Linked DNA regions of Rattus norvegicus. The protein of the gene in region 1 binds, or shares a complex with, the protein of each later gene. Links are inferred from orthologs where the notes say so. Each region holds a gene or a part of one and is shown in the gene's direction. Other genes may lie near its edges.

Evidence for each region.
Region 2: Polr3e (region 1) and Polr3f share a complex: the UniProt entries of both Homo sapiens proteins name them as parts of the RNA polymerase III complex. The link is inferred for Rattus norvegicus from reciprocal best matches to the Homo sapiens genes POLR3E and POLR3F.
Region 3: Polr3e (region 1) and Polr3k share a complex: the UniProt entries of both Homo sapiens proteins name them as parts of the RNA polymerase III complex. The link is inferred for Rattus norvegicus from reciprocal best matches to the Homo sapiens genes POLR3E and POLR3K.

Annotation. Positions count from the first base shown.
Region 1 is NC_086019.1:184,920,004-184,926,607, forward strand, and holds the end of Polr3e (DNA-directed RNA polymerase III subunit RPC5), read left to right. Parts: coding exon 1-2; intron 3-1,713; coding exon 1,714-1,791; intron 1,792-3,682; coding exon 3,683-3,808; intron 3,809-4,761; coding exon 4,762-4,818; 3' UTR 4,819-5,535; downstream 5,536-6,604. UniProt on the Homo sapiens protein: DNA-dependent RNA polymerase catalyzes the transcription of DNA into RNA using the four ribonucleoside triphosphates as substrates.
Region 2 is NC_086021.1:152,358,226-152,366,117, forward strand, and holds the start of Polr3f (DNA-directed RNA polymerase III subunit RPC6), read left to right. Parts: upstream 1-3,572; 5' UTR 3,573-3,618; coding exon 3,619-3,845; intron 3,846-4,640; coding exon 4,641-4,758; intron 4,759-7,892. Other genes in the region: Dzank1 (double zinc ribbon and ankyrin repeat-containing protein 1), read right to left, coding at 1,540-1,648. UniProt on the Homo sapiens protein: DNA-dependent RNA polymerase catalyzes the transcription of DNA into RNA using the four ribonucleoside triphosphates as substrates.
Region 3 is NC_086021.1:189,357,351-189,365,242, forward strand, and holds Polr3k (DNA-directed RNA polymerase III subunit RPC10), read left to right. Parts: upstream 1-2,998; 5' UTR 2,999-3,062; coding exon 3,063-3,173; exon of another isoform or gene 3,174-3,175; intron 3,176-4,382; coding exon 4,383-4,470; intron 4,471-6,493; coding exon 6,494-6,621; 3' UTR 6,622-7,196; downstream 7,197-7,892. UniProt on the Homo sapiens protein: Core component of RNA polymerase III (Pol III) which synthesizes small non-coding RNAs using the four ribonucleoside triphosphates as substrates. Can mediate Pol I proofreading of the nascent RNA transcript.

The DNA of each region.
Region 1 (6,604 bases):
CTGTAAGTAAAGCCTGTGTCTGCCAGGCCAGGGTCAGTCAGAGCCTTCAGGAGGGCAGCTGGGCAATCTTCACCTTCTTAGGAATCAAGAAGCATGGGGAGAAACCTGTGTGTCTGTCTTAGGGACAGTGGCTCTGAGGCTGCATGTGGATAGGGTACATGTTGTGTTTGTCAGATGGCTTCCTGACCTCATCTGAAGTGGGTGTGTTAGTTTTTCTACCATAGGAAGGTAAGAATATGAGATTCCGCAGGCACTATCAGGGCCTCATTAAACATAAGCCTTTACCTGATTGGTATTTAGTTAGTCTCTAGGGCATGAGTGACACAGCTAGAATTTGAACCTCAGTCTGGAGGCTCTAAGCTTGCTTTCACAGAAGGTAGCTTAGCACTTCCCCACATAGGGAAACCATGGCTTCCCTGGCCTTTAGGCTCTTTGACCATATAAGCTCCAGCCTCTGCAGTAGGCATCGAGGTGGTGAATGAGCCTCCTCTACTTCAGGTCCTTCCGTCCCATGGAGTGGGCTCCACAGTGGGGCCAGAGACTGTTGCCTTTGATGGAAAGGAGTGTTTGGGTACAGTGTGAAGGAAGCTGCGTGGCTCATTCCTAGGCTCTAGCCAGCCCAGGAAGCAAATCAGCTAGGACAGAAGGGAGGTGACTATGCTGTCTTATAGATAGGGAGTATACCGTGTGCAGCACCAAGCTCACACGCACCTGTGCCTAGCCTAGGACGATGCTTAGGCCAAGGCCCTGCCTCTGTGTGTAAGGAACAAGACAAGAGGCTCTGTGGCCCCCTGTTGGTGGAATTTCCTTGCCAAGGTTTGCTTTTGTAAGATGCTGGCATTGGGTTCCTGGCTACCCTAAGTGCAGCCAGTATTCTACAGGCCTACTTTTCTGTGTACTGGGCAAGAAAAGGATACTAGCCTGGTAGAAGTGGGATTGCCTAGGCTACCCACATGGATGGAGGATGAGGAACCTTCTATGAAAGTGGTGCTCTTTCCTGCCCACCTCAGAATTTCCTTGGCCATGCTCCTTCCTCTCAGAAGTGCTGGCATCTAGAGAACATCCCAGGCTTGTGTGGAGCAGTTTGACCCCAAGGGCCATATTCATAGCATGTCCAAGAAGAAAAGGCAAGTTAAAGACCCGAGTTTAACTTGTGATTTACTACTCTGAGCTAAGTACCTGTAGACAGTGAACAGCTCTGAACTTGATATGGCGAATGGGCAGGGCAAGCGACGCCTCAGTGCTGCTCAAGTCCTGTGCCAGTCTTTATGTGTTAGTGAGCACTAGTACCAACTACAGAAAGGAGGCTATAGGCACAATGCTGGCATTTTCCCTGATCTTTTTAAGTGCCAGGACTGTCATCCTCTGGTTGCCCCTGAAGCAAGTGGTATAAAAGGCTTGGGAGTCTGCCAACATCCTGTTTTAGCCACACTTCTTATGCTGCCCTTGTGGGAAACAGCTGACCGGAAGCCCTGAGGAATGCTAGGGAAGAGGAGACTTTAGAGTAGAAGTCCAGGTAGATGCCTCAAAGCAGCATCACACACACTAATGCCATCCCAATACCTGTTGTCGCACTGTCATCTCAGAGCCAGTGAGTGGGAGAACTAGGCTTCGACCGCTCTTGCCTAGGGCTGGGTTGCAGGCTAGGTGGGTTGAAGTGGGCAGGGCAGCAGATCACAAGGCAGAGAAATGACCAGCTCATGCTTGGGCCAGTTTCCCCCACAGACTGCTGCTTCCCCTGATGAGCAGAAGGTATTTGCCCTCTGGGAGTCTGGAGACATGAGTGACCAGGTGAGGTGCCTTTTTTTTTTTTTTTTTTTTTTTTTTTTTTTGTCGTCTTTCTTTTTTAAGAGCGGGAGTCCTAGAAGGTTGAGGCTATTAGAATCTTGACACTAGAGTATAGTTGGACATGTCAGGTTTTCCAGTCACTCCAAGATAGGCCATGTGTGCCAGTGGTTTGCCCCTGAACTTGGGTGGATGTCTGTCGAATTAGAACAGTATCACCTTTGAAAAGATGACTGTTTCCAGCAGTATGGTGGCCTCACTCTGAGCTTTAGAGCTCTATGATAGTGATGCAGGCAGGCTTGGAAACCACGTGCAGAGGAGAGTTCTCAGTGGCTTTTTTATTAGCTGTCTTAAACCTGGAGTTTGGTTATTTTGTTCTGCGATCCTGTCTCCAGTGTTTGGGTAGTTCAGCTCTGGGAAAGAGCTGAGGTCCAGATGCCTTTAAATCATGAACTTGCCTGAATTCCAAAGATTAAAGTGTTTTGGTTTTAGCAGACATGCCAGTCAGGTTGAGACAGGAGTGAATCCTGTTGAAGCCTGTTTCCCTTTTACTTGCCAGGGGGACAGGAAGGCTGAGAGCAAGAGTGGGTATGAGGCCTCGCTTCTAACAGGAGTCCTGAAGTGACCCTGTTTTTGGCCAAGAAAGGTAGCTTGAGGCTTTCCTACTTAGCTTCTCAGATCACTAAGGGAAAAAAAGTAGTAAGTTCATTTAAAACTGAACAGGGCCTAAAGAACTGTGGGGAAGCTGACTCTGCCCTCAGAGGTGACCGATTGTTTGTGACTGTGAGCCGATCAGTGGTTACCACATGCTAGTGCACAGAACATGTTCATGCTGCAGTTACTGCTTCCTCTCCAACATGTGGGGCTAGAGAGCCAGCTCAGGCCTTCAGGCACCTTCTCTGCTGAGCCATCTCACCGCTCACTTCCTCTGTGCACTAGTCTGCTGTTCTGACCCCAGCAGACCAGCAGCACGACTCCTGTGGAATGTGAGGACACTGCTTCTCCATGTGTGGCTCTTCCTGTGTCTAGAGTCTTAGCCTCTGATGGGATATCGACAGCGTTCTTTCTTTCTGCCCTCAAGTACTGCTGGTACTAATAGAACTAAAATTTTACAGGGCAAATAATTTCCCCCCGTTAGGAAGAGGGTATCGTAATCATTTCAAAGTTGAAATTCAGTGATACTCTTCTCGTGAGATCTTCCCTTAACTGCAAACTGCATGGCGTATATTGTTCCCTACACTGGTAGGACCTTGATGTATTCTGAATTCTTTATTTACTAGACAGTTGGGCTCTTAGAGAATCCTGTAGGCTGATAAATTTCTTTACCTTTTTGAATCCTTATAGACATTTGAGCTATTAAACCTACTAGATGTCGTCTTTGCCCATTTTTTGAGACCAGAATTTTTCACTGTAGCCCTGACTGGCCTTGAACTCATGCTGATGCCCCTTTCCCAACAGGGATTGTGAGGTGTGTGTGAGTCATCACCCTCTGCAGTCAGTTTTCATTCTTCCCTTCTGTTTTGAGGATGGCCTTATTTGTCCTCTGCTATTTAATGTCTCTTTAGGAGTTTGGTGCATTTTCCAGTTTCCTGGATTCAGTGTTATGCTTGTGTCTAGACTTTGAACCAATTTAGATACCTTTCCCCCACCCAGTCTAAACTAGATGCTTCTGCTCACTTCCTTGTATGTCCAAACTGCTCATCCTGAGTTCCTTCACTGAAGTCTGCAACAGTGACCAATAGGTCGGTCTTGCTAATCTTTAACCAGGAGTGCTAAGCCACTAGACACTGCAAGGTGGGGCCAGCGCCATCATTTTGGATCTTTTGTTTGGGGATAGTTCACATTTGGGATACTATCACTATCGAACTAACACTTTTTTTTTTTAAATTAAATAAAGCATCGACAGGTTTTGCTTGAAATATTTTCCAAAAATTACCGAGTACGTCGGAATATGATCCAGTCTCGGCTGACTCAAGAATGTGGAGAAGAGCTAAGCAAGCAGGAGGTGGATAAAGTGCTAAAGGTATGTCCATTGTGCACAAGATGTCACGCAGAGCATCTAGGCTGTGACTTTGACCTGTTGTTTTAAGGACACACATACGTGGAAAGGTTGTGTCTGGTATCTTTGTTCCCGCTGTGTATATAGTAAATCAGAACAGCTTAGCCCTAGTGCCCACCAGTCTGATGGCCATCAACTGGCAGTGACTAGCACTGGTACCCTGGCAGGAAAGTGAGCCTTTTCATGCCGCAGAGTTGGACTGGGTATGAGGAGGTGTACATCATCTTGCACCCACTTGTATAATTGACAGTACAATCTTTTTTTTAATTTTAATTAAAAAAGGAATACTGGGGGTTGGGGATTTAGCTCAGTGGTAGAGCGCTTGCTAGGCTGGGTTTGGTCCCCAGCTCCGAAAAAAAAGAAAAAAAAAAAAAAAGGGATACTGCCTGGCACTGGTGGCGCACACCTTTAATCCCAGCACTCAGGAGGCAGAGGCAGGCAGATCTGAGTTTGAGGCCAGGCTGATCTACAGAGTGAGTTGCAGGACAGCCAGGGCTACAGAGAGAAACCGTGCCTCCAAACAACAACGACAAAGAGGAGTTTCTGTTTGCTTAATGTGAAAACACTTTGAATGCTCTCATGAACTGTGTGCATTGTAGAGGTGGGCACAGAAAGCCACTGCCCCATTCCCTGTTACCTTTAGTCATGTAGACAATAGGCCTTATTAATATGTCCCTTGTCGTAGTCAACTTGAAAAGTTTTTTTCTGTTGATACAGCAAAATCTGTAACACATCTTAAAATGTCCCTGAGGTATGGTGGCTGGAAACCCGATAGGGTCAAAGCGGCTACCCAACAGCACACTTAGGCAGGTTTTGATGTCCTGTTTGCACTCTGTCCGCTAATCGTGAGTCAGGCTGTGACAGCAATAGCTCTCTCCTGCCGGAACCTGCCCTTACCCAGTTTTCTTAATTTCTAGGACTGTTGTGTAAGCTGTGGTGGCATGTGGTACCTTAAGGGGACAGTACAATCCTGACAATAGTAGCAAACCACTAACTCAACGAACCCAAGCCCAGGGAAGGACGGCAGAGCCACACGTAGTCTCGACTTGCCTCAAGACACAGGAAGAGGATCTGCCCACCTGGTGGCCTGTGGCACTGCCTGGCCCAGAGGACAGAGGGGCTCACACTCAGCCAGTGGCAGGGTCAGCGTAAGTGAGATCGCTCCCAACAGAGACCAGCCGGGCCTTCTTTGCAGTACAATTTGAAATTCCTGATGTATTTTGCTTATTGGGTTTCATTCTCATAATAAAGAGAGTGTACACTGACATGGGCAGGATTATGAAAATCATGGTTTAATATTTTCCTCTTTTAAATGAATGCCAACATAGTTAAAGTTATGTTTACAAGATGAAGAGAACCTTAAGGTTTTTAATATTTAAAATGCCTAGAAGCTAATAATTAGTCTTAGAGTTTCTCTCTGCTAAGACTTCTGCCAATTTTATTAAACCAAATTGAACATTTTACTGTTGGGTTTCTAAGGCCACTTTACCTTATACAGCAGCCTGCTTTCTGTAGCGGTCTCAACTGTTTACACAGACCATAGCAAACATTCTATTAACTCCATCGTCTCCTACTGTTTGCATAAAGGTGCAAATGGAACCAGGTAAGTGTGGAACAGTGTGTAAGCGAGGTTATCACTTTGATGTAAAAAAAATTATATTTTGTGTATTTTTAAAATAAATGCTAACACTAAACTGGCATCATGGTGCTGCTGTCCTCAAATAGTTGCAGGAAGAAAATGTCCTCTGTGCTGTCTAAGCATTCAGTACAGAGAGAGAAGGGAGACCATGACGCCATCACACCAGGTGATACTCACTTTGACCTTGCAAGGTTGGTCTGAAGACTGGTCTGCTCACACTGCTGAGGCCGCCACACACACAGGGACAGTCACAGAGTGGCCTTAGCTCGCTGCAGACTTGCAAGCGGAAGGGAAGGAGGATGGAAAGTGAACACCAGCTTCTTAAGTAGGGAAGGGAGCTAGTACTCCTCCTGTGGGAATGTGAGAGCTGACTAACCTTGAAGGTTTTAGTACTTACATTAAAATAGTTTTAAAAGTAGATATTAATGTACTTCAGGCCCAAATATTTTAAATCAAAATGTAATAAAGGTTTTTTTTTACCTAAGTCTTCAGAATGTGGTATTTTACACTTCTAAACCCCTCAGAGCCATGATTTACATGCCGGATTGCCAAACTTCAGCTGTGGTGAACATGCCAGATCATATAGTCCTAGAAGACAGGGAAAAGGTGAGGTAGGCTGGGTGAGATGACGTCTGCCACCTAGTTAAGACTTCTTGCTCTAGCACATCTTGTGCAGCGCAGTCACTAATTGCCAAGGGTTGAAATAATGCTCTGTGCTCTCCTCTCTCGAAGAAATATCAGACCCTTTAGTATAATTTAGTAAGGCGTCAATCAGGGATGTACTCTCCAATGAACATTTGTTAATTACATCGATTACTAGGGTGGCTCTTGGTAACTGTTAACACATATGAGCTGTTAACTCAGTTAAAAGTTACCAAACCGGGCTGGAGAGATGGCTCAGCGGTTAAGAGCACCCGACTGCTCTTCCAGAGGTCATGAGTTCAATTCCCAGCAACCACATGGTGGCTCACAACCATCTGTAAAGAGATCTGATGCCCTCTTCTGGTGTGTCTGAAGACAGCTACAGTGTACTTATATATAATAAATGAATAAATAAAAAAAAAAGTTACCAAACCAATGAGGAACATGTCCTTACCATATTCTAGGGTCCTTTGCCCTTT
Region 2 (7,892 bases), on another chromosome or scaffold:
ACACATATAAGCAGATTTAATAATAAGTGCTATCTACTACTTTGTTTCTAATATCTAATATCCAATATCTCTACTTTGTAATAGTTAAGATTTATTTTTTAAAAGATTTATTTATTGTATATATGTGAATATACTACACTGTAGCTGTCTTCAGACACACCAGAAGAGGGCATCGGATCCCATTACAGATAGTTGTGAGCCACCATGTAGTTGCTGGGAATTGAACTCAGGACCTCTGGAAAATCAGTCGATGCTCTTAACCGCTGAGCCATCTCTCCAGCCCCAAGACTTATTTTTTTTTTAACATCGTTATAAGCTAATAATAGATATTATGTTAAATCAAATTCTCTTCTTTCCTTTCCATATGTGTACACATTTTTATCTCTATTTCGAGGACCCTGAAGGGTCTCATAAGGAAGCACAGATTGGCCTCAGAGTCACTGTTCTCCTATCTTGGCCTCCCCAGGGTTGGCATCAGAGGCTTCACATAACCACCTCTTTTGCCCACTGGGTTATTATTCTCTGTGGCAACTCTGTTTATTTGACATTTAAATATTAGAGTATAGAGACCCCTATCATTCATGCCATCAATTTTCAATAATACCCCTACTTCTTCTAAGAGTTATAAGTTCATATGTCTAAATTATTAAACACATTAGCCTTTCAGATAAAAGAGAGCATGGTACAATATATGGTTCATTCTTCAAAATCTTTGACTAAGCAGTCCAGAAATATCTCTATAAGTGCAGATAAACAAGTTTTATACATTTAAACCATCAGAATTAGGTAGATATTTATGTAATTGGAATCTAAACATCTCAATGCAAGTACTTTATATAGCTTATTTATGAAACGTCTTTAGGTGGATTATATATAAACATCTACACAGATTTAATAGTTGAGGTTTTTTATGAGCTAAGTCTTGCATGCCCCAGATAAACCAACTCAATATAGCAGTGGATAGGTACTAGTACACAGTTACTCATTTAATCCTCCAAGTGCTCCTGGTGGTAAGTATGGTTGTCCCATCTTAGCATGAGGACACTGACACTCAGAAAAATTGAGTAATGGGCCCAAGGCCGGCAAGGTTGTCAAACCGGAATTCAATCTCTATTTATACCAGAAAAAAAAATCTGTATTTTGTAGGTCAAATTTATTATCTCAGCAAAGTAATAAGCATCCTGAGAAAGGTTGGGAATACAACTGGATATCTCACCTTGACTCGGGTGAGTCAAGAGGGTGTTGCCACTAGCAACCTGTTTGTCTCCTGGCTGAGACAGGAGGTTTGCTGCAAGTTCAAGTTCAGCTGGGCTATGTATTGAATTCAAGGCTGATCTTGGTCACATAAGATCTCATCTCATGATAAACAAACACATACATGCCACTCTACGAATCACCAAAGAACAACACTTTCAATATATGGAAGATTTGCAAACTTCTAAAGCCCCAATATAGAAAACATGCAAAGATATTAGTAACACATGAACACAGAGTATGACGGTGTTATTTTAAATAATTGAAAATGCATGTGATTCCTACCGGATTTCATTTCCAAAAGAGTATTGGTATCAATTTCATGGTTAGCTTTTCCAGGCTGAGGCACTCGCAGTGGTATGATCTGAGGGGCACACACTGAACCAGCAGTCATGTTCTCTCCTTATATAAAAAGATAGATTTAAAAATTCCATCATGAACCTATTCCCGAACATGAAAACTACAGAGTGCTACGTATTTTAAATGGAGGAAGCCAGTAAAGCCTAAAGAACAGATCATTGATATGCCACCTACAGATAATGCCCCATTTAATGAATGAAATCTTTACATTTTAGCTGTATGTTTGCTCTTGAGGTCTGGAGTTGGATATTCAGCTAAATACTTTACATCTCATAAAGGCAAGCAGTCAAATTCAATAGGAGACTGGAGCTGCTTTAAAAGGGCAGGTTAATGGATGAGGCAGAGCAGAATCCACCACTAATGCTCTGAGCTCACTTCCCTCGAGATCATTCACTCTTCACTGCCTTCAGCAAGGGCACACATACACACTCACTCTCCTGACTTCAAGGCAACTCATTACATAAGGGGAGCGAGTAACTCTGCACATAGCATGAATTATTTAGAGCCAAATCTTAAAAGAAGTTCTAAGCCCCACAGTCTTACCTTTGCCACTGCAGTGTATTGTATTTTGGAAATATACTGCAAAGACTGCAGAGCATCTGTTCGCAATAGAAAGGAAGTTGACATGGCTATAAACCAACAGTTTCCTATTCGCTCTACTGTTTTGTAAATAGCAGTACAGAGACGTTATGGGTCTTTTCACTGAAGTGGGAGGAGTCCTCTTAATCCAGTATTTGCATTTTGCACTGCTGTTTCAATGATTATGGCTACACAATTATTCAATTATAATGTACACATTCATCTTACTTTTATAATCAACATTTTGCATCCTCATTTTTTCCAAGACAAATAATATAATGCCCTGGCTGTCATGGAGCTTGATCTGTAGACCAGGCTGGCCTCCAATTCACAGAGATCCACCTGCCTTTGCCTCTCAAGCGCTGGGGTTAAAGGCATGTGCTACCATGCCTGGCTTACTTAAATTTTTTCATTTAACAATTTGTTGTTCAATGGTGAGGTTATAGTTTTGTTTTTTAAGTTTGGTAGACGGAATTATGATAATGTTGCTGCGAACATCTTTGCGTTTTGACATATCTTGTTCTGGAAAGTGGGATAATTAGATTTAAAAGACGAATTTATGATAGTTCCAGATTGAGGGCCAAGCATAAAAACTACAGCTATCTGACCCTTCATAAATGAGGCTGGTTGTAGAGGGATTTACCAACCTTCACATTTCCCTTCGATTGAGAGTCAATTAAAATAAAGATAGCTGAAAACTAGATTCTAATAAACACCGATGGTTAGAGACTGAGGTGCTCACGGTTAGCTATTAGCTGCTCTTGGAAATCTGGGGTGGTCAATGGACCATCACGAGACAGAGATGGCTGATTCGCTAGGTCCACACTGCAGCCTGGTGTCGGTGTCATGCCACCAGCATCTCCCAGCATCCTTCACCTGAACCAACCTCCTCGCTGCCCAAACCAAGACCCAGACCCGCGTCATGTCCTGGCCTTGCGAGGCAGTCAGAGACGCCTAGATTCCTCCCAACCCAGTGAGAGGTGCCCTTCTCCTCACCTTCCTCCAGCCTCAAGGACAGAGATAAGGACCCCCGACGCACGTCCACTGCCGCCAACCGGGTGTCTAGACTCTCACCGCCTCACGACTGCTCCTCCGCAGCAGCTTGCGTTACCACAGACGCTGCGGACCGCGCCCCGCCCACCAGGAGCCGAGCAGATGATTGGCAAGGAAATCGACTTCCTAGCAACCAGCCCTGCCCTTGTCTCTGGCTGCAGCCTCCGTCTGGTACCCGCCCCCAGCTCCTTCTGCGACACTTTCTTTTAGGTGTCCAAGAATATGCCTTCTCAGCGGCTGGAAGAGACTGAAGAAGGGGACCTCACTCAGCTCACTGGAGCCAGAGGATCTCGTTCGATAGGTACTGAAATTTGGGACAACAGAAAGGACAAGTTGCGGCGACCCTGCTGAGCAAGGCGGAGCAGGCACATCATGGGCGCCCCAAGCCGACCTCATGAAGAAGGCCCGGCGCGACCGAAGGAAGAAGGTCCCTCGTCCCTCCCACGCCCCCACCCCTGGCGTGCGCCTCCACCGGTTCCCGAGAATTCCAGCGCGCTCCTCCGGGCCACTTTTCCTCTAGTCTTGAAAACCACCCTCATGGCGGAGGTGAAGGTGAAGGTGCAGCCGCCGGACGCGGATCCGGTGGAAATAGAAAACAGGTAATGCAGTGAAACTAGGTTCCCGACGCTAGGCGAGCAGTCAGCTGGATAGCTGTACCCCTTCTCTCTCGGTCCCCGGGAGAGGACGGAAGAGGCTAGTTGAGCACGCGGGAGCAGGGTTGACGGCTGTCTGGGAGTCCCCCTCCCGATTAGGGAGAGTAGAACTCTTCAGAAGCTCCAGAGCAGCGTGACAGCTTGAAACTTTATGTAACTGGCTCCTCCGGGGTTCTATTAGAGCACTTGGAACGTGACAGCAGCCAGTGCCAGAAAAAAAGACCTGCATTTTCCCCCTAGTTCTTGGGCATGTGTTCGAATCCAGTATTGCTCGGTTGCCAAGGGAAGTTCTGTGAGAGAACGTTCGGGCCAATTTAGGGTTCAGTTTGTGATTACAAAGAACCATTGAGCCAAGTAGGTTCAGTGAGTGCCTTAACCCCCAGCGCACATGTGTTTTTAGGTTATAATGTAGTTAAAAAGACAACGACTTTCTCAACATTATTATTGTGGGTAGTAAGCTTATTACACCTCCAAACAAATTAATCCTTCCAGTTTGTTTGGAGAAGATAATTTCTCAAACAGACTCCAGTTATGGTGAATCACTATAACCCTCTCTAGACACGCACACGCACAGGAACACGTGCGCATATTCTACATTTGCATTCTGCCCACAGACCTTGGATTCAATTTGCCGTACTTATTCCCATTGATAAAACTGAGATTTTAGCTTAACTATCATGCATCTTCCTTTTTTGCCTTTTAAAACAAGCAAACATAAATCATTAATACCTTTGTTCCTAGAATTATAGAATTATGCCACCAGTTCCCTCATGGAATCACAGATCAAGTAATTCAGAATGAAATGCCTCACATAGAAGCCCAGCAACGGGCAGTGGCCATCAATAGACTATTGTCCATGGTAAGGTGAATTCAACTAATTTATGTAATTTGTTGTATATTATGTATTTCATTGCCTCCTGTCACATAGTTGTGATGTTTAACTTCATGTGTCAACTTGACTGGGCCGTGATACTCCTAGATCTGCCTATATGCTGTTTCTGGGATGTTCTAGAATGTGGTATTTGAATTGCTGTGCTGACTGTAGAAGGTGAGTGGGCCCCATCCAATTAAGTATCAGCCTACGTAGAACAAATGGAGGACAGAAGAACTTACCCCAACCTACTTTGAGTCCCAGGACCAGTCTTCACCACTCTTTGTCCTTAGGCTTTAAGATTCCATCTACACCATGGACTTTTCATCACCGAGGCTAATGCATCAGGTCTGCGACATTGGTGTATGCCCCTGGCCTTCTCGAGTCTCCACCTTGCAGGAGACTTACAAGGATTCTCCCCCACCATAATCGTATGAACTAATGATGGCATAATAAGCCTCTTTTTTTAGTGAGTCAATATACTAATTGTTAGGCCAGAATTTTTGATTTGATTCCAAACCAGGGAAAGGATTAGCATGTTTGAATTGGAAGGAAAGATAATTACGTGCCTGCCATTTGACAAGATGAAGAAGCTGCATGCAATTCTGTTATAACTATGGTATTATCTTCATTGACACAAAAGGGCATGTGGGTGTGGCCTGTTACTTCCTGCTGCTAGCTTTTAGCCATTCCCTATAAAATATTTCCACTGTGGGTTTTTGTTTGGTTTTTTTGGGTTTTTTTTTTTTTTTTTTTTTTTTTGGTGAGTTATCAATAGCCTATTGATTGGGTATCACAGTGTAACTCTGAGCTTTTTAAGAGCAGGAAGAAGTCCCACTGAGGACTTCTTTGGGAAAAAGTACAGGCTTAGCTTCAGAGACAGTGCAGTAGAATTTTCATTGAAACTCAAGAACTTGGAGCCCAAATGCCTCTCTTCCAACTTTTGAAAAATGTCCCACCAGACACTGGCTGATGCTTTGGATCTCCTATATCTCTACTTTCACAAGCCATTTGATTCCTTTTTCCTGAGGACGTTTTGGTTTGGTTTTATTAGTTAAGAGTCTTACACTAGGCCTCTTCTGAATGACTTTTCTTTTTTTTTTTTTTTTTTTTTAAAGATTTATTTATTTATTATATATAAGTACACACTGTAGCTGTCTTCAGATACACCAGAAGAAGGCATCGGATCTCTTTACAGATGGTTGTGAGCCACCATGTGGTTGCTGGGAATTGAACTCATAACCTCTGGAAGAGCAGTCGGGTGCTCTTAACCGCTGAGCCATCTCTCCAGCCCGACTTTTCTTTTCTAAAGCTTTCAACCTGATGTTTTACCTCAAGGCACTAGACACAGATGATAGGGATAGGCAAATCTTTTGTTAAGCCTTTGTCTTCACCTTTGTGGCTCAGAATTTGGCAAACTTCTCTATGAAATAGTAAATAAAATAATTTTTGTGGCCCAACTGGTTTCTGTCACAACTGTATGACTTGTCATTTTAATAAGAAGCAGTCATGAGCTGTGAACAGTGATACATGAACAGGTGGGTGTGGCTTTTCCTCATGAAATTTTATTAATAAAAAAGCAAACAATGGGCCAGTGACTTCTGTTTTCTCCCACAGAAGACAAGTTGGTGATTTATGGGCTTCCATTTTCTGTGTAGAATGACTCCTTGTTATCCTTCAGGACTCCTCTCTGTGTCTATCCCCAGGATACTTGGATACTTGGAGTCCCAGGTTGGGGCCAGTCTCCTCTCTTGACTGTGCATCCACCTTTTTGTCTCTCATAAGCATAGTGTTGTAGTCATCTGTGTGCTTCCCTTTGAGAGTTTGGAATATAGCTCAATGGTAGAACATTCACTTAGCTTGCATAGTATGTTCAGTCCTCCGCCCTATAATTCAACAAGTTGTCCACTTAAACAGCTCTCCCAACAATGGTACAGTACACGTGTTTAGTAATTGACTAGAATAGCCTGAATAAATGACAGAAGGGAACCTCTGAATTGAGTTTTGTGATCCCACTTCGAATTTTATAAAGAAGGGAGAGCGTTGCAGTTTATCCAGTAAGTAAACCTATTTTACATTCTTAACATACAGTAGGGCACCCTACTTGGTTATGGTTCTTGTAATTGCTGAAAATTCAGTACACATATCTGGATTCTCTAGATGCCTAGGCCTAAGGGGGTTCAAAGAGCATGATAAAGTACCACTCCTAGAGACCCTTTGTTCATTTGTTAATCTTTTTGCCTAATTCTCCTATCACAGAGTTAAATTGTATATATTAGTAAAATCATTAAGAACTATAGTTTAACTTAGTATGCTGTTGAATATTCATATTTATGCTTTATCTGGACTAAATTTTTATCAGTACAAATTCTATTTTTAATTATATTTACCCATATTTTACATAATTGGGACTTACTTAGATTTCAATATGGATTTATATATATATTATCCTAAAATAACTTTTTAAAAAAGATTTATTTTTATTTAATGTGTGTGAGTATTTTGCATGCACGTATTGTCCATGTTCTGTATGCATGCCTGGTACTGACAAAGGCCAGAAGAGGACCCTGATCTCCTGGAACTTAAGTTAGAGACTGTTGTGAGCCACATGTGGGTACTGAGAACTGAACCCCAGCTGTTGTTGTAAAAATATAAAAAATAAAAAATGTAAGGTTGTCTTTTATCCCCCTCTAGGTCCGGCACCTCAGTGCCCCAAGATATCTGCTGGATATCTTAATTCTCAGTCAGCAAGCGTCTCACCTGCTCTGCTCCATCCCACATCGCACTGCCGAAGGCCTCTCTCTGAGCCTGGCAGCACTCTCTCTACCTATCTAGCTCCCAAGGCAGGTTTCCATGCCAGAAACACACATCCCAACTCCATGGTGACCCAGACCAGCTGCCCCACACTCTGTTACACTTAAATCTACACACGAAAGAACGTACAACACAATAACCTTTGGCCTAGTTGATAAGATATAATTGCCCACATAAACATACAAAGCCCAGTACACATTCATCCCTTAAAAACATTCGTAACAACCTGTAAAGGTACAGCGTGGAATCTTAACGTCACCCGCCATATTGTCCTGCCACGGCTTCTCTCCCTCTCCCTCCTGTCTCTT
Region 3 (7,892 bases), on another chromosome or scaffold:
ACTCTGAAGAACAACTTTATTTGCTATTTTAGTCATGTACTCATATTTTGAGAATGTTCAAGGGAAACAATACATTGAGCATTTGCTTTAATTAGCATGAATCTCATAGAGATTCATACTCGTATAAATGTTCATATAGAGAACCTGTATGTCAGTAATAAATCTGAATGCTGAGGTTTGAGACTTAACTGAAAACTGAACATAAGGCATTGGTGAACTAGTGATAGAAACAGGGAGGTAATGATGTCATGGAGACAGAACAGATAAGGAACAGCAAGAATTGTTAGACTTTCGGGGTCAGTGGCACAGAGTGGTAAAGGCATTTGGGTTGGGAGCTCCTGGCCAATCTGGGCTTCATGTAGGATCCTGTTTCAGAAAACAAGAAAAGCAATCACAAGAAGGCTTTTTTTTCCTGAAAGGTTTGGGTTTGCTTTTTGTTTTGGTTTTTTGTTTTGTTTTGTTTTGTTTTTTGGTCACTTAAGATCGGATAGGTCAAGGGTCTGTGGTGAAGGTGAGGATCAAGGAAGGGCTGAGGCCTGGAGGTGGTGAATGATGTTATCCATTCCAGTGTGTTGTAAGTGCCCCCATGTTAGAAACATAGATGAATACATTTGTGTCTCAACAATGTTAGAGTTTACTAAATAAGTTCACAAGGTGTATTAGTCAGGGTTCACTAGAGTCACCCAGTTTATGGAATGTCTCAATATATTAAGGGGTTTATTGTAATGACTTACAGCCTGTAGTCCAACTAACCCAACAGTGGGAAGCCCAAGAATCTAGTAGTTGCTCAGTCCCACAGGCTAGGTGTTTATGCTGGTCTTCCATAGAGTGAGTTCCAACAGATGTGCTGCTGCGAAGAAGAGTGAATCTTCCTTCTTCCAATGTCCTTACGTGTGGCCTCCAGCAGACGGTGTGTACCACCGCGCCTGGATCTGAAACTTGTTTTGTCCCACGATGACCTTGAATTTAGAGATCTGCATCTTCTGGGATTAAACGTGTGTGTGTGTGTGTGTGTGTGTGTGTGTGTGTGTGTGTGGACTTGTTTTGTCCCACGATGACCTTGAATTTAGAGATCTGCATCTTCTGGGATTAAACGTGTGTGTGTGTGTGTGTGTGTGTGTGTGTGTGTGTGTGTGTGTGAGAGAGAGAGAGAGAGAGAGAGAGAGAGAGAGAGAGAGAGAGAGAGTGCGCTACCTAACCTGAACCTAAGCTTTTTGTGGTCAAGATCCAGGTCAGAAACCGGTCTTCCAGTCTCAGGGTCTGGATCACAGGTGTGCCCTCACATTTCTGGATTGTAGTTCATTCCAGATGTAGTCAAGTTGACAACCAATAATAGCCATCACACAGCTGTGTATATCCATTTACTATGGAGGGTTTTGCAGACAAAAAGAAAATCTGAGGCTTTACAAAAAGCAGTTCCCTTTGATATTCTAAGGAGGCAACAATGTGATAGTCTCTGTGGCTGCCTGGGGCACATCGCCTCTGACTTTCAACTTTATTTTCTGGATCATCCTGTGAGGGATGTTGTTGAAGTCCTGTTCTGGGCATGGGTTGTAGTTTGCATTCTTCACACTTCTGTCAAGAATCCTTGCAAAGATAATGATGGGTCTCCCACCTGTACTGAGCTGCTTCTCAGTTCCTAGTAAAATAATGATCAGAGCCCCTAAATTATCCCCCCAAGAATCCCTCAAAGAAACATGCAGAGTTAACCAACAGAGACTTGAGCTGGGGCTCCATGCTTTAGCCTCTTCACCTGCAAATATTTGGGAACAAGGAGACACAAGTGACTAGGAAAAGTGTGCATGTGTTGCGCATGGGCCTCCAGAATCTACATGGTAGACCTCAGGCTATTACTGGAATACCTACCATCCAGCTGTTTTAGATCAGCTCTTCAGGACTAAGGTTGGAAGCTGGAGGTTCATTGTTGCAGGCTTTTTCTTTATCATACCATGAACTCTGGGATTGTGTTTACTGGAAAAACCTGTTTCTAGTTGTGGTGTGACTCGGCCCTTGGCACACAACCTTTAATCCCGCTGGCTGGAATACAGACACGCCCTTAGAATGCTCCTTTAATGCCCAACAATGAAGGTCAGGTTAGATTGTAGAAGGTATCACCCATATTTGAAAATGATGTCTAGGGCTGGAGATATGGCTCAGTGGTTCACTGACTGTTCTTCCAGAAGTCCTGAGTTCAAATCCCAGTAACCACATCTCATCTCGTCTGTAATGAGATCTGATGCCCTCTTCTGGTGTGTCTGAGGATAGCTACAGTGTACTTTAAATAAATAAATCATTTTTTTTAAAAGTGATGTTTGAGTGTCCGACAAAGTGGGGAATTAGAGAGTTTTTTTTTTGTTTTTTTTGTTTTGTTTTGTTTTGTTTTTTTGTACAGAATAGGGTATGCCCAACTCTCATGAGAGAGAAGGAGGCAGTTTTCCTGGGACAGTTTTTACAGAGAACAAACTAGACACAGATGAAGACAGAATGTGCCAGAAGATTAGAACAGATTGTCAAAGTTAGTATGAGGCCAAGCAGAGCAATTGAGGAAAGGCTGAGAGAGAGAAGCCAAATTCAATCAGTTTGAGCCGGAACAGCTGAGTTGAACCAGCCAACCAGCGCTCAGAACTAGAAGGGGTGCGCTTATTCCGCAGTGAGTCTCAGAAGCTGAAAACCTTCTAGGCCTGAATTAGATTTTACAGAGGGTAGAAGTTTCCAGGCCTAGATACTGCAGCTCAGCAGCACCTCATCACCCAGTCCGGCTCACCACCATCAGGCTCCCCAGGTGCTGCCATCTGCCGGCACCATTAGTTTGCGTTTCAGCTAGGGAGATGTGCGCACGCGCAGAAGCTACACGGACAGCGAGTGCAGACAGCATGCAATTGGCTGGATGGGGAAGGGTCATCGGCGGTGACCAATGGCATGCGCGAGGCTGCCCGCCGCAGTGCCTACCGGGAACGTGTTGCCGATCGCCGGTTGCCCGTAACGGAGGAAGGGAGACGGCTTCAGATTGGGCGCCTGAACCTCGGCAGCGCCACACAGAGCCGCCGTGTGGGAGCTGAGCAATGCTGCTGTTCTGCCCGGGCTGCGGGAACGGCCTCATTGTGGAGGAGGGGCAGCGCTGTCACCGCTTCGCCTGCAACACGTGCCCGTACGTCCATAACATCACCCGCAAGGTGAGGTCCACAGGCCGGAGCTCTCCCTGCGGTCCGCGGGGCCCAGGGCAGGCGTCGGCGCGCTCGGACCTCCCCGCTGCCCGCTCAGAAATTGTGCGAATTTTAGTTCATCCCCCTACGCTGGACCTCGCAGATTCCAGTCCGCTCCTCACCTCTGATTTCAAATCCTCGGGTTCTTTAGTTGCTCGTTTGCTCCCATCCCCTATCTTGATTCCTGAGAATCTTCTTGCACGCAGTGCTGTCAGGTTCTTCCCTCCGCCCGAGTCGGTCTTCCCTGAATAACTACGCAGAGTGACGCACTTCTCGTTCTCGTCTCCCTCTTCCCCCGTCTCTGGTGCATGTGTGCCTCCCTGTTTCTCTCTCCCTCTCCTCTTTTAAAATAATGGCTGCCTTATTTAAATGTCAGCCCGTGCGGCTGTTTGTGCACCTATAATTCTAGCACTCGGCAGGAGAATAGGTTCAAGGCTCATCTGGGCTGCATAGCACACACAGAGCACAGAAAAGCCAAACCCAGTTCTTTCTGTTTATCCTCATTCCCTTAAGGTTTTCACAGAATTCATTGTCTTCTAATGTTTTATATCGTTGTTGCTACTTTGTGTGTGTAGTGCTTGTGTTGGAACCCAGCAAGCTGTGTTTCCAGCCCTCGGTGTTTTGTGTACCTTAATTCCCGTTCCTCTTTACCTCCGTGCCTTAGTTCAGTGACTGCAGTTGTGCAGCACTGGGCCTTGGTGACTCCTCGTTCCTAATGTTTGCACATTAGAGCTGTGTGGTAGGGGTTTAGAGTCAGGATTTGTGGTAAGATGAATTGTGACAGAATTTCTAATTTCCAGGGATGCCTGATAAACATAGGAAAGCATCCAAATGTGACCTGGGGTGCTGGTATACCCAGCTAAGTGACTTCATTTGTCTGTCTTTCCTGTTGGATTATTAGGTGTCCTAGGGGTATGAGAGAAGAGCAAGGTTTTACTAGGCTGTTTTTTCCTTTCAGTTCTGTCTGGTGTTTCCTTCGGTCTCTAGAGGTCTGAACCTCTAGAACCTCTGTTCTGTTTGGAGGAACATCCGAGTCACAAAACCCCTACATTTTAGTGACTCACACTGCTCTTTGAAGAAGACAAATTTTGTAGAGGAAATGCTGGAGGGAGTTGTGGCTTAGTGACCGACTTGTAAAACTGTACAATTACTTCCAATCTGGTGGCTTGTGTCTGTTAGGTAACAAACCGAAAGTATCCAAAGCTAAAAGAAGTGGATGATGTGCTTGGTGGAGCAGCTGCCTGGGAGAATGTGGACTCTACTGCAGGTGAGGATTTTCCCGTAACAGAGCCAGTGACTCAACCTTGTTTGTTATTACTTATTATTATATTTTATATTTATATTGTTTCGCTAGTTTGTGTGTGTGGTGCTTGTGTTGGAACCCAGAAAGCTGTATTTCCAGCCCTCGGTGTTTAATACTAATAATAAACTTAGTATTATAATGCAGTCCTGTCTGTTATTAGGGCCAGCAAGATACCCTGGTAAAAGCACTTGTTGCCAGATCTGTTAGCCTGAGTTTGATTCTTGGAGCCCAGATAGTAGGAGAGAACTGACTCATGGGAAGATTTTGTACCACCCTCCATGCACACATGGGCGTGCACAAGTGTAAAAGAACTTAAGAAGATGTAAATAACAATGTAATATCAAATAGCTAGTGCATGAAATATTTTGGTGATGTGTTTTAATTACAGTGTAGGCACTCTAAAGTCTTTTACATTTTTGTTGTTGTTAATTGATTTTGTTTTTTTGAGACCTGGTTTCACTGTGTAGCTCTGAGTGTCTTGACCTCGGAGATCCACCTGTCTGCCTCCCACATGCTGGTACTAAAGTATCTGCCACTGACACCTGGCTGTAATAACATTTTTTTAAAAGTAGATTCTTTCAAGGATTCTTTAAAGCAAAGTTACTATAGTGATACCTGAACCGTTGTTTCATTTAGAGTCTCAAGTCCGATGTGGACAAGTATAATTAAAAAATAAATCTGGCAAATATTCTCTTTTTGAAGCAAATTTAGAGTTCATTACAAAAAATTTCAGCATTGATTTATATATAGTTGTTGGGAAGGGGGGATCCATGCTCTAGTGGGTGTGGACTTCTCATGAAAATTGTGTTGTATGTATTTTCAAATACCAACACTGAGAAAATGATCAGCCCTAGTCTTTTATTTTCATTTCGTTTTATTTTTTATTACATGGATTTAAAAAAATTATAACTGTGGACGAAGGATGGTTGCTCAAGCTTATGATTCCAGTTACGATTCTGGTGCTCTCTGAGTGGAGGCAGAAGGCTCAGTGCTTATCTGGGCTTTTTGAGACCCTGGCTCAGCCATTCTGTCAACCGATAAATAGCTGTGGGGTAGGATTTCAGTGGTTGAGAGCATGGGACTGGGTTTCCTTCCCAACTTCCACCTGGCAGCTCAGACCTTCTGTACTTGTACTTTCAGGTGATCTAATACCCTCTACTTGCATCCAGGGACACTGCATGAACGTGGTGCACAGACTACCCAAAGGCAAAACATGCACATAAAATAATTATAAAAAATTAGGGGGGGGGGTTGATATTTGCAACTGGAGGTATTAAAAAGTAAATGTTTACATCTTGATTTGTTTGATAAATTTAAATGTGATAATGGAATGAGAGAAAATGGCCTAGTACCTCTTTTAGAAGGACGAGCACATGTGTGATTGGCAATCTTTTCCTCTGTAGAGGAATATCCAGATCTCCTCTGTTGTCATTAGCTAGGGACGGTAGCACAGCTGAGCGATGGAGACAGGAAGATCATCTCAATCTTATTTTAGCTACTGAGTGACTTTGAGGCCTTTATGTGTTTGTTTTAAGCTATTTGTTTATCTTTAGGATAGAATCTTGCTGTGTATTCCAGGCTGGCTTTGTTGCAAGCTTCTTACTTCAGTTTCCCAAGTGCTAGATTCTGGCCGCCGGCTACCTCAGTGGGCTGTGTTTTTGTTACATTCCCACAAAGGAGACAATAACAGACCCTTCCCAGGCTATTTCCAGCCATTCAACCAGATTTGAGAAGGGAAGTGGAACCCAGGGATGGAAGGGGAGGGGGTTCAAAAAGACCTTAAGCCTCTACTCATTTTCAAATTTCAGGACTTTTGTTGCTTTTATAAAACAAGGTCTCTCTGGTCTCCTTGTTGATGTGCTGTGGAAAGGGTGTTGCTATTGGCAACCTCGCCTTTGGCAGAGGAGTGTAGATGAGCATGAGGATGAAATGTTTGCCCACATTTAACAGTGTTTGTAATGTGGAAACTTGCTTTTCTGTTTGCCAGAGCCATGTCCAAAATGTGAGCATCCTCGTGCCTACTTCATGCAGCTTCAGACCCGTTCTGCGGACGAGCCAATGACCACCTTCTATAAGTGCTGCAATGCTCAGTGTGGACATCGCTGGAGGGATTAGGGCCGGACTTGCCTAGCTGTGAGCATGATTTCTGTGTGCTGAAGGTCTTTACTGTATGGTAGGAAGCCGATCTTCTGTGGTGAAGGACCTGGGTGAATAGAGCTCATCTGCAAGTTAGCGGCTCTCAGGTCCTTGGGAGCTCCACGCAAGGATGTCACTTGGCTCAGGTCCTGGTCCTACATTCGAACTTGGAACTTGGGTTTTAGCCAGTCTTTTTTGTTTTTTAGTTTTTCAAGACAGGTTTTCTCTGTGTAGTCCTTGCGCTGCCCTTGCTGTGTAGACCAAGTTGACCTTGAACTCATTATCCACCTCCCTCTGCCTCTGGAGTGCTGGGTGCCACCACCGCCCATGATGATCTTGACCCTCCTACATATGAACCATTTTCATTCTGTGCAGTGCAGGGATTGAACTCTGAGCCTCATGCATGCTAGATAAGTACTGGCTGTATCTCTAGCCCTGATTTTTTTCTTTTTAGAGAAATTGTGAAAATACTTATAAACATACTGAAAGTCACTTTAAAATTCTGGAATTACATGATTCACCTTGTATGATTAATAAACAATACTATTCTGTGAGTTGGACTTTCTGGATGATTTTGATAGGAATTTAAAAGTAGCCATAAGCATGAAATCCTCTACCAAAGAAGAGTAACAAACCACTCATGGTATTACTCCATAAGGTGGACGTATTTATATGTGAGAAGTTCCATTCTGTGCAGCTGGACAGTCGTACGCACGATGAGGAATGTACGTAGTAAGGAGATCTAAAATAACAGATTCCTCCCTTGCATAGCTGATGTCTTCAAAATCAGTATTTTAAACTGCTACCCAAGGGTGGCACAGATGTGCAGAGGCATTACCTTGGGGTTTTCCACCAGGCCTCTTTGTTCCCCAGAATAACAGCTCTGAGACTTAATTATATTTATGAGTAAATGTTTAGGCTTGAGCCTGTTCCCCAACTAGCACATAACTTAATTGCCCTGTTTATTCTAAGTCCTACCACACGGCTGGTTACCTGGTCCTCAGTTTAATGCAACCATCTTCTGTGTCCAGGTGAATTTCTCATGTCTGATTATTTATCCCAGAATTCCTCTCACCCTCTGCGTCAGATGTCCCATCTTCTATTTCCTCGTTCACTCATTGCCCATAGGCTTTTAATGACAAGTGAATGCTTTTCCACTGTGCACAAGAGATTCTCTCTACAGAGACGGAAGCTGGAATACGTGGAGGTCCAGCTCAGCAGTGGCAGCAGGAGTTAGGAGGGAAGGTACA